Cricetulus griseus: one gene and its partners. The protein of the gene in region 1 purifies or fractionates together with the protein of each later gene. This does not show direct contact. Links are inferred from orthologs where the notes say so. Each region holds a gene or a part of one and is shown on either strand. Other genes may lie near its edges.

What was found.
Region 2: the proteins of Lgals3 (region 1) and Slc12a7 purify together in Homo sapiens (affinity purification with mass spectrometry; 3 studies listed by BioGRID and IntAct, counting the BioPlex papers as one, with this or other methods). This does not show direct contact. The link is inferred for Cricetulus griseus from reciprocal best matches to the Homo sapiens genes LGALS3 and SLC12A7.
Region 3: the proteins of Lgals3 (region 1) and Slc12a2 purify together in Homo sapiens (affinity purification with mass spectrometry; 3 studies listed by BioGRID and IntAct, counting the BioPlex papers as one, with this or other methods). This does not show direct contact. The link is inferred for Cricetulus griseus from reciprocal best matches to the Homo sapiens genes LGALS3 and SLC12A2.

The regions. Positions count from the first base shown.
Region 1 is NW_023276807.1:203,415,421-203,419,451, reverse strand, and holds the start of Lgals3 (galectin-3), read right to left. Parts: upstream 2,820-4,031; 5' UTR 2,734-2,819; intron 1-2,733. UniProt on the Homo sapiens protein: Galactose-specific lectin which binds IgE. May mediate with the alpha-3, beta-1 integrin the stimulation by CSPG4 of endothelial cells migration.
Region 2 is NC_048595.1:368,458,985-368,462,503, reverse strand, and holds part of Slc12a7 (solute carrier family 12 member 7), read right to left. Parts: intron 1,839-3,519; coding exon 1,692-1,838; intron 417-1,691; coding exon 362-416; intron 1-361. UniProt on the Homo sapiens protein: Mediates electroneutral potassium-chloride cotransport when activated by cell swelling. May mediate K(+) uptake into Deiters' cells in the cochlea and contribute to K(+) recycling in the inner ear.
Region 3 is NC_048595.1:181,067,991-181,071,509, forward strand, and holds part of Slc12a2 (solute carrier family 12 member 2), read right to left. Parts: intron 2,583-3,519; coding exon 2,475-2,582; intron 1,320-2,474; coding exon 1,196-1,319; intron 511-1,195; coding exon 409-510; intron 1-408. UniProt on the Homo sapiens protein: Cation-chloride cotransporter which mediates the electroneutral transport of chloride, potassium and/or sodium ions across the membrane. Plays a vital role in the regulation of ionic balance and cell volume.

The DNA.
Region 1 (4,031 bases):
CTGTATTTGGAAATATTTCGTTTGAAAGCAGCAGGCAGAAACAGTTCAAAGTCATTCTGAATGATGAGCTTAAATATGAGTCAATGTAACCAGCTGTTAATTGAGAGCTTTTCCTTTAATAGGAGTGGCCCACTGCACCATGTTCTGCTGGGCCTACGTGCCAACCACCCAGTGGTCTGGGTTCTCAAGAACTCTTCTGGAATTTGTGTTCATAAAGAACAAAACTGTAAAACACTAAGTGGTGATCCTGGGCCCTCCCACGCTCCCTTCCCAGGAGCCCAGGCAATGCCTCTCCATTTCCTGCCTCTCCATTCCCTGCCTTCATGGAAACACAGAGCAGGGCTTGAGGAAGTCCACATTCCAAAGCAGCAATCAGTGAAAGGACACTGGCCATCTCCTAGGGTTTCTCTCTCTTCCCAGTTCCTCACATCAAGGAAGATAAAATTACTCTGTGCTTCTGTCTCAGTCACTGACTTTTCCCCTTTGGAAAAGCCGAGTATCAGTCAAGGAAGAATGCATGACCCCTTGTTAACACCAAGCTGTGTCTGTTGCAATGGAGATTTAGACTCTGGCTACCAAGGGTGCTAGGCACACAGCACCTAAATCATAAATAAGACCAATTCTAGGCCACTTGAGCTTACTGGCAGGAAGTAAAAAGCTTATATTTTTAATATATTTACTTTGAGACCGGTCTCACTCTGTGGCCCAGGTTGGCTTAGAATTCTCCATGTAGCCTGTGCTGGTCTTAAACTTGAGATTCTCAGGAGGCTCTGCCTCCTGGGTGTTAGAATTACAGGCACTGACTCCCACACCCACCTAAGGAACAGTTCTTTGGAAAGCATCTGTTTCTATGTACCGAGTTCCAGCCAGTGCTACGCATGAGACCCCCAACTTGAAAAATAACAAATAAACCAATAAAGCCACTGTACTTATTTTTGATCCAGTGAAATATATCATTGATTAAGAAGCCCTGAAGAGAGTTAGTCATTTTACATAAACGTGATCAATTCTTTTGGTCAATGCATCAAGCAGTTCTCCATTCCTTCTGCCTTGTTTACAATTTAGTGAGCTATCCCTTAAACACTTCTAAGCTTAAACCTGAAAGACCCCCATGAAAGTCTTCCCCAGAATGGGAAATAAGTACAGATTTTAAACTCTTAAACATTGTGAATTTAGGAAGCTAACCCCCATCAAGGATAAATATGACTACCATAGGGAAAAGGGACCTATTTGAAAAGTATTCAGAATCAATGTGCACAGTCTAGCATGATAGTCAATACACTGTAATCCTAGCACCCAGGAGACTATGGTAGAAGGAGTGCCATGAGTTCAAGGTCAGCCTGGGATATGTAATAAGTATGAGGCCGGCCAAGGCTATATTGTAAGACCCTATCTCAAGAAACAAAAGCAAAGCAAAGCAAAAAATACCAGTGACCAAGAAGGAGACAATTGCTAAGTGTGTTTGTTCTAGCCTGGAAAATCACAAGTTCAAAACCACCCTAGACCACATAGGAAGACCTTGTCTCAATCAAAAACAACAAAACACTTCCAATCTCAAATTCCATAATCACCCCTCCCAAAGACTATTGTGGTAGAAAAGCAAGCTTTTGTTATGAAACTTCAATTTTTATGGAAATAGTTGGGGGAGGCAGCTCACACCTGTAATCTTAGCACTGGGGGATACTGAGACAGGATTGAAAAGTGAAAGCCAGCCTGGGCTACATAGTGAGTTCCAGACCTGCCTAGGCTGCAGTGAGACCCCGCCTGGCCCTCCCCCAAAAAACAAATAAATAAAAATATGGAAATACATAAACTTGAAGCAAACAACTTGGAATTTCAGAAATTAGTCATATAAACACTGTGATTGCAATTGTTTTCTTCAAAATAAGCTGGGTCACTAGGTCCTGAGGTCCTCATTATCTAGAAACCCAACTCCCCAAATATTCAATCCATGCATCTTGGTTCCCTGCATTCGTGTTTGAGCAACAGACAGCAGAACAAATCCAACTTTTAAAAGCCTCCAACTAAGGCTCTACACTCTGGGAAAAACATCACCACACCCAAGACTTCCCCAGCCCAGATCTAGAGGTTATTGCACAAATCACATTTGGGCACTGATGAGTCACTTGGCTTGCAAAAGTTTAGAGATTACCGTCGTTCCTCATCTGGGAACATGCGCACTAGAGCCTGGGCAACACTTCTGTGCGGTCAGCACGCAGGGAGTGGCTGTAACCCCTGTCGCTGCTGGACCTGGTGGAGCTCACTGGCACCACAGGGCAAGATCTCTAGTGAAAGGCTGGTAGAGCTCACTGGCAACACACAGCAAAGATCTCTAGTGAAAATCTCAGCAGGTGTACCAAAGGAGCCTGCTGGCTAAGGCAGGGATCCCAGAAGCTGTCAAGAGGGTGCCCAAGCAGCCCCCCAGCGTACCGGGAGGGGGACCTGATTCCTGTGTTTTAAGCTAGGGGCAACCGCTTGGAGCCAACTGCAAGGTGGCTCTTGGGTTCACTTGAGCCAAGAGCTTCCGATGCCTGCCCAGGGCCCGCAGGCATCCCGCTGCCCCAACGATGCTCAGTAAATAGGTCTCGACTAACTTTCTCGGAGTGTTACCCGCGGGTGAGTCACGGCCGTGGACCCGTGCCAGGGACCCTAAAGGTCTCCTCCCGCCAGTCAAGCCCTTTCTTGGTGCACAGAGCAGCACCGGTCCCCCTCGCTCTGCTCCGCGCAGCTCACCTTGGTCAGTGCTCCGCCCGCTGCTCCGCTAGCTGCTGGGCGGCGGCTGGGCGCTTTTTGTACACTTCTCCCCAGCCCGGCCCGCCCTCCCGGGGCGGGGCAGCATCTCCAGGCCAGCAGGCGCCTGCCTGGACCGCGCCCCGCGGACCCCAGAGCTTCCCCAAGCTGCAACAGGGACACTCCCGCCAACCTGTGTCCCTCACCTGTGCCCGGAAAGTGGGCCCTGATCCTCGCACCCAGACACTCTCAGACTCACCGGTTCCCGAGTCTGAAGTTGCCTCTCACGGTCTCATCCTGCCTCCATTTCCTTCACCCAAAGCCTTCCCAAAAAGTGGGAAGTGACTTATGCGGGTGAGGAGAGGTAGGAGCAGGTATCCCTGACGTGACCGAGCTGTAAAAGGCAACCCCGTTTGCATTCATTCCTGCTGAATTTTGCTGTGTCTGTATACCCCAAGTTTTGGTGTTTTGATCTACTCAGAATAGTAGGTTTTTCCTCAGTGGGAATTTATTGATTAAAGAATGAATGAATGAGAGTGGATGAATGAATAAGTGAGTGAGTAAACTGCTTCCTAGAAAGATGTTTGCTTAATGATTAGAGGAGAGTACTGCGTGGCAAGGGATAGTGAAGTCAAAAGAACAGGGCGAAGCTCTGTCTGTATGAGAAGTTGTTACAAGGAACAGCCACCTTTGCAAGAAGGCTGATAACTAGTTTGGAGACATTTATTTAGATAAAAGCTGAGTGATTAGTGGTTAAGGATATTCAAGATGGTTTTTCTTTTCCGGCTTCAGATGATAACATCAGGTAATATCCACCAAACGAGTATGCACCCTGTACTGTGTCTAAGACTTTACATGCATTTATGGAGTTGGTATTGTTTTAATCCTGTTAGTTCTAAAGCACCACACACAAACACACACACACACACACACACACACACACACACACACACACACACACACACACAATGGCTGGTGACAATTTACTAAACAGAAGGACTCTGGCTGGGTAACCAGAAACTTAAAGGTAGTTTCTGTTGACCAGGAATCTCTCTTAATCTGCCCCTAAATGTCAACTACCTAGGACAAAGGCATCTAGTTCCTGGTCAATTCCAACAGGATGTATCAGTTCAAAGCCCCCCTCCCCAGTTCTGCTGACTGTCATATAAAATCCATTAGCATTTCTCCCCCCACCTGGGATGGAGTGTTACCTTGGCAGTTTGAGCCCCAATAAACCTTCCTTTCTACCCATGGAGCAGTCAGTCCAGTTTGGTAGTTTTTCTGTGCCCTTGCTTACAAAT
Region 2 (3,519 bases), on another chromosome or scaffold:
ACACAGGCCTGCCAACTCTTTTATGCAGAGGACAAAGCAGTAGTGCTTGGTGGAGTGTCACCACAAGCTATAAAAGTATATAACTTCAGAAGGACCTGCCCTCCACTGATGTTTGTGCCCATCTCTAGGGTGTGGTTTCTGTCCTCATAACAGAGAGCAGGCAGGCAGTGAGGGTGCGTCTACACCACAGCCTCTGGGGAGAGGGCCACTCTCTTCTCTCCATGGGCAGCACAATACCTAGTGCCATCCTGATGCAAACAGTTAATGTCACTGTCACATGAGCCTGGGGCAGTAAATGGCAACCACACACAAGTAGTTCTTGTTCTGTATGGTGAAGAGCCACAGGCGCTGGCACCCTCACCTGGGACCACACCGTTGGTAGCGATGGCACTCATAGAGATGGCAGTCAGCATTGTCTGCAAAGAAAAACAGCTCTTTCAGGAAGTGTGTGCCCCAAGATTCTCCAACATGCTGAGCCTAGGCTGCAGGCTTCTGACCTCAAAGGAGGCATGAAATGACTGGCTGTCAGTCCTTTCCTACTCAACCCACAAATCCATTCCCAAAAGTCACAGAAAACAGGCTTCAGACCCAGCACAGCACAGCCCTGAAAGCTGAATCTCATTCTAGGTGCCTGGCCCCTAAGGAGTCCCAATTATGTCTCTAATAACCCATGAGGCACCAGGGGGACACTTTAGATGTACATTCACCATGGCACAAGGAACCTCACCTTGTATCTACCCTCTGGCTCAACTAAGTTTATTTGTGGGTATCAGCAGTGCAAATAGCCACAATGAAGTGGGTGGCCAGACCTGAAGTGCCCACACAGAGTAACGAGAGGACAGTCCTGGAGTGGCCACATGGAATGAGGAAATACAGGCAAGTGCCCTAGGGTGGCTATGGCAGGAAAGACACATGAAGTGACCAGTTGGGAAGCATGGACTGGTGGCCTTGAGTAGCAAGACAGACTGACCAGTCAGGGGACAGGTGAACAGGCAGCCACAAGGAATGACCAGTCAAAGGACAGTGGGTACCCTAGGATAGACACTTAGGTATGCGCTATCAGGGAACAAGTGGTCATGTGACCTGGGGCAGGAGTTAAAGGGACTCCCATTCAATCATATTATTTGAATTCCTTCTAAAAAGGACCCTTGTCCTTTCAGGTGACACTTGGGTTAACTAAAACAAAATTATACTTCTCATCAGAGAAAGGTGACGGAGAGAAAGTAGGGCTGGTAGACAGACTGTGAGCAATAATCAAAGGTAAACCAGGCGTGCATGATAAAAAATGTCATTATAAATAAGGAGACATGCTGAAGGCAGGGATGAGTTGGTTCTGAGTTTATTCTTTCCCTCAAGCTTGGACTTGAACAAGTTACAGACCTGTGTCCCTGAAAATGCCCACAATCCTTTCAGGGTAGTCTTATCACAACCCAGTGAGAGGCCCCTGCCCCAGACTTCAGCCCTTGGTGTCCCCAGAAGTACAAATGCCACCCCTATAGATACAGCTAAATAAAGTCCTCAGACTAGTGGGAAACCCAGCCTTTGCCAGCCCAACTTTCCCAAGACCTCTGCAGCAGGTTGTTTCTAGAGGGGGACCTACAGGACAGGCCTGGATTCCCCAAAAGTAGTCTCTCAGGGCCCCCAGTACCAGCTCCTCAGAAACTGTGCCAGGACTAGCTGAGAACACTCACACAGGTACAGCACATGGACACGATGAGGAAGGACTCCAGAACACCAGCTGCCCCCACAATCCAGGTCAGGCGCAGGAAAAGAATGACACCCAAGATGTTCTGCAGGCAGGGCAGGTAGACTCCAATGAAGGTGCCCATGCGTGGGGCCTGGAACACAGAAAGATATGTCCGAGGAGGCTCACAGTCTATATCCAGTAACCCAGCCTGGAACCCTACCCATGCTTCCATTTGGAGGTCACAGGAACAGAGGAATCAGGGAGGAACACAGTGGCCATACAGTGAAGCTACAAGGATAGCAAAGATGCCTGACAAAAACCCATGTCCCAGATAAGATGAGGTTCCCTAGTTCTAGAGTGGACCCCAGTCATCTAGGGCATTGAGCTGGAAGGAAGTAAAATCATACTAGGCAGGGCACAGGAAAAAGCCTCCTATTTGTAGAAAGTATTTTAAAGTGTGTTGCATGTGTTTATGCTGTGGAATATTTGTTTATAATGTGAAGATGTTTTGCATTCTTTTATGTTGCATTTGTTTGACTCTGTGAAGCTGTGCTACTTTGCCTGTTTGAAACACCTAATTGGTCTAATAAAGACCTGAATGGCTGATAGCAAGGCAGGAGGAAGAAAAGGCAGACAGATGGAGAAAATAAATGGGAGGAGAAACTGAGAGGAGGAAGGAGCAAGAGAACAAGGAGAGGAGGATGCTAGAGACCAGCCAGACACCAGAGTAAAAGTGAAAGTCAGATACACAGAAGTAAGAAAAGGAAAAAGCTCAGAGGCAAATGGTAGGCAGGATAATTTAAGTTTAAAAAAAAAAAAAAGCTGGCTAAAAACAAGCCAAGCTAAGCTAAGGCCAGGCATTCATAAAAAATAATAAGACTCTGTGTGTAATTTATTTGGCAGCTGGGTGGCAGGCCCCTTGAAGAGCCAAAAAAGTAAAGAGTAAGGGAAAAACAACAACAATAAGAACCCAACTAAATCTCCTGGCTCTGCTTTCCTACTGGGAAGAAGAATCAGAGTGGAAAGTTTGGAAGAGTGAGATAGAATCCCTGCTGTATCTGTGAGGCAAGCTAGGGGCCTGAGTCTTGGTGCCAGGAAGCTTGAGAAATGAAAGAGAGGCGGCCAGAGAGGCGCTAGATGCAGGTGAGGCTGCCTATAAGTTCAAGAGTCTCATTGTAATACGATAGGGAACAGACTAGAGATTTGGAGACATAACAGCTAAGAAGCCAGACCCCAACACAAAGGAGGGTCATCTCAGTTTAGGCGAACACAGAATGAGCATGGAGGATTGGCTTGAGCACATTCCCTATGGACAATGACCACAAGGATGTTACAGAGCGTGCTCACACAGAAGCCTGATAGAGACCAGACAGGGAGAGCCCAGCAGCTGAATGAAGAGTGGTACTGAATGGCTGTGCTTAGCCAGAGAGTAGACTCCAAGAACAAACTGACCACCGAAACAACCTGAAAAGACAGAGTGGCAGCTCAGGCATGCAGATGGCCCTCCCACAGAGAGCCACCCAGGGCAGGGCAGCCTGAATTCTACCAATTGGAGGCCAGAGGTCTCACAGGGAGATAGAATGTGTGGAAAGCTCTGGGTTTGAAAGCTGGAAGCCTCATCACACTGAAGGGAGGGATATAGCAAGAAAGAGACTAGGCCTTGACCTCATGCCCTCCCTTGTCTTTGAGGTCTGGACTATGCATTCTGGGGGCAGAAGTCTTGTGGGTTTGAATTCTGCAAGCTGGCAGATGGATAAATGCCTTTGGAACTGTTTATTTTAAGAAGTGTTTTATCTTTAATTATGTATGTGCATGTATATATGTGTTGGTAT
Region 3 (3,519 bases), on another chromosome or scaffold:
AAAAATCATGCTAGGGGCTGGCACTTAGGCTCATTGGTAAAAACGTGTGCTTATCATGCTTGAAGCACCAGGTTCAATTCTCAGCACCAAAAAGAACAAATTTTGAAAGGTTATTAAACAATGACAAGGTTATGAGAACTGAATCGGGTAAGTAAATAGTAAAGAAATTTTAAAAACAGGAAATAATTCTTTAATACGACAAATGCTATTTTTACTGTTTTGAAAAGAAACAGCTTATTACCAGAATACTTCATAATAAAGAGAACTTTGAGCACTGAATTTGACATAATTATAAAAGAAAACAACTTTAACGAACTAAACTCACATACAACAAATTTTAGAAAAGTGGAAATTTTGTTTCCTCTGAAATCAAAGCCATTAATACAAATTTTTAAAATGTAAAATCACCTGGAGATTTTGCAAGTGATGCATGGAATACTGAAAAATTGATTAACGCATATGATGCAAGGAAGAAATTAGAGATAATTGGAGCAATAACATTCAATTCAGCTGCAAAAGAAACAAGAAATAAATTTAATGGTGTTTAATACTTCAAATTTTAAAATATTCCTATTTTTAAATAGCATAATAAATAGTCCTAAATCTACCACGGTTGACACTTCCTTAAATCTTGCTATTACAACTGATGGATGACATGATCAGACTTTCAGACAATTAAATTGAGAGTCTAGACAAAAATCCTTCAGAAAGTCCAATGTTACTTTAGCAGTGAAAGATCCACACTTTACATATGATCAGACAGAGGCAATACCTTCCTGGGGTACACTAGTATCCTTTCCCTACACTATCATCGTATATAGTTTAGGAAAATGTTATGGTAGTACAGGCCTACAATCTTAGTCCTTGGGAAATAGAGGCAGGACCATCAGGAATTCAAGATTATCTTTGGCTACAATTATGAATAATAGGAGGCCAGCTTGAGATACATAGTCTTTTTTTTAAAAAAAAAAAAAGTGTAATTTCTTCTATCTGTAATTTTACATGATAGCAATAATTTTAATAAATATCCAACACTATTATTTGCGGTATTTTACTTACTCTTTGGTTTCATTAGAAATTAATTTAGTGCACTAAATCAAAGCACGTTTGGTTAATAATTTAATATTCATGATTATAGGTAATGCTATATATAAACACACCAGAACCTACATGATATACCATTCAAAGAACTAACCAATTAGGATGAATCCAAGTGCAATTAAGAATGTTAAGATGTAACCACGAAGAGGTTCATTATTTTTCCCATAACCTTTAGCAAACATCTGGAAAGCTGGATAGATATTGTCCTTACATAGTGCCTAATAAAAAAATGCAAACATTAAAATGAAATACATGAAAATTAAGATATACAAATCTGCTAACAATTAAAGTAGGTTAATAAAGAATGGAGCCCAGTCTCTCATTTCTGATGCTTTTTTTTTTCCTGTCTCACAGGGCTTCACCTACAGACTATCAAGGATATGTAAATAGTTCAAATAGAAGGGTAGTTGGTTTACAACACTGCTTAAGATTTTATTTATCTTGCCCACCCCACTTTGAAACTCTACCTATGAAGAATCACTGAAGCAGACATTCAAATAACAGTACAATTAAAAAAGAAAATTGGAAGTTGGTAAGTACAATACAGTACTTAAGGCTTTATGAAAACTAAGTCCAAATATGAAACATAAAAGCAGATTAAAAACCCTAATAATAAAGTTTAACCACTTTTCTTCAAATCTTAATAGATGCTGCCTTAAAAATTACATGCCTCACTATTACTATATTTTTTGGCTACAAATAAAATATTAAGAATAAGGCTAGAAAAATCAACATTTATCTGACTTAGTAATTAAAAATGAGACCCTAATCAGTATTATCTGCTTAGTCATCTCTACAGGAAGCAATGTTCATTCATTCTAGTTATCACTGCACCTACTACAAGTAATGTAATGTTAGCCACATAAGAAATTTAAGTTGGCATCATGCTAACTGAAATCATTATTTATTACTTCTGATTAGTCTTAGACTGCACTCCTAATACTTGATGAGAACCTTAGACTTTTATGCTAAGTATGTCAAGAAGCAAAACCCACTCTTTTTATCCCCTCAATATTTATTCCTATCATTTTTAATTATGTATGTGTCTGGAATCACAGGATTATGGGCCACCCAATGTAAACACTGGAAACTGAATTTGGATCTTTTGCATGAGCCCATACAGCTGAGTCATCTCTCCAGATCCCCAAATCATCTTTTCTAGCATGTAACTTGACATTAGAAAAGTGCACAAATGTCTGTATGCATTTGCATATCATTTGTATACATAAAATTGATATCAATTTTGATATGTATATGTAAACATATCAAACACATGAGGTTGATAAAAGCAACCTATTTGAATATAGCAACAATCCAAAATTTGAAATATCTTAATACCCCCCTAATAATAATTATAATATGAAAACATTTACCTGAAATATTTTGGGAGCACTCACTAGAGAGGCTAGTGCTGACGAAAGTGTGGCTGAAAAGATACCTGCCGAGATTAAGGGTGCAAACCCTGACACCATGCTCATCACCTTAAAGTGACAGAATTGGAAAATGAGTCATAAAAACAGTTTGAAAAAGAGTATTGAATAGTCACAATAAAGGAAACTAATACTAGATTAATCTGATAGTAATTTGATAAATAGCAATAAGAAGCAAATTATTAAAATAGATTTACCACTAACAAATCCTTTTATAAATTTTCAAATGAACATATGGCAGAAAAAAAGAGGATAATGAACTGCCAACTACCTGTCACCAGGTTTCAACCATGGACAACTTAGGCCAATCCGACATCATTCGCACCTCTAGATTTTTATTGCATAAGGTTCAGTGTTGTGTCTATTAACAGTAATGGCTCACTGATCTGGCCATCCCTTCACAACATCATGTATCTAGTCAGCAATCAAACTGCCTCAACTGTCCCCATTGTCTTGGTCATTTAAAAACAGTTTTTTTTTTCAAACAAGCTCTCAAAAATAATTATATTTGGTTGGTACAGTTTTTCATATTTTCAACTTATTTAATTTCTCCTGCCATTCTCTGGAGCTCCTACCCTATATCCTGCAATGTATGGACCATACCTCTCTATTATGTAACCCACTCCTCTCTTCCTAGTTTCTAGAAAATTTATAATTAGATCTAGCAAAGTGTACTACATTAAGATGGTTTCTTTTTATGGGATTGCAAAAGTACTGTGGGTATAAAGATTTTTAAGTAAAAACACATCTAGCCAAAAGGTTATGATACAAATTCTCTTTGGGGATGAGAAGTTATAAACAAAACACAATTAACCACACACTGATAAATTGATGAAAGTGGTGCGTTATGTCCAAACATTTACTATGAGGGCCAATGTGTGTGTGCATTCCTCACAGACTTAGACATGAAAACCTCAAGCTCGTTTATTCTCTGGTTGCATTGTCCTTTGCACAAATCAGCATCAATGCCCTATGCTTAGTATTGGGA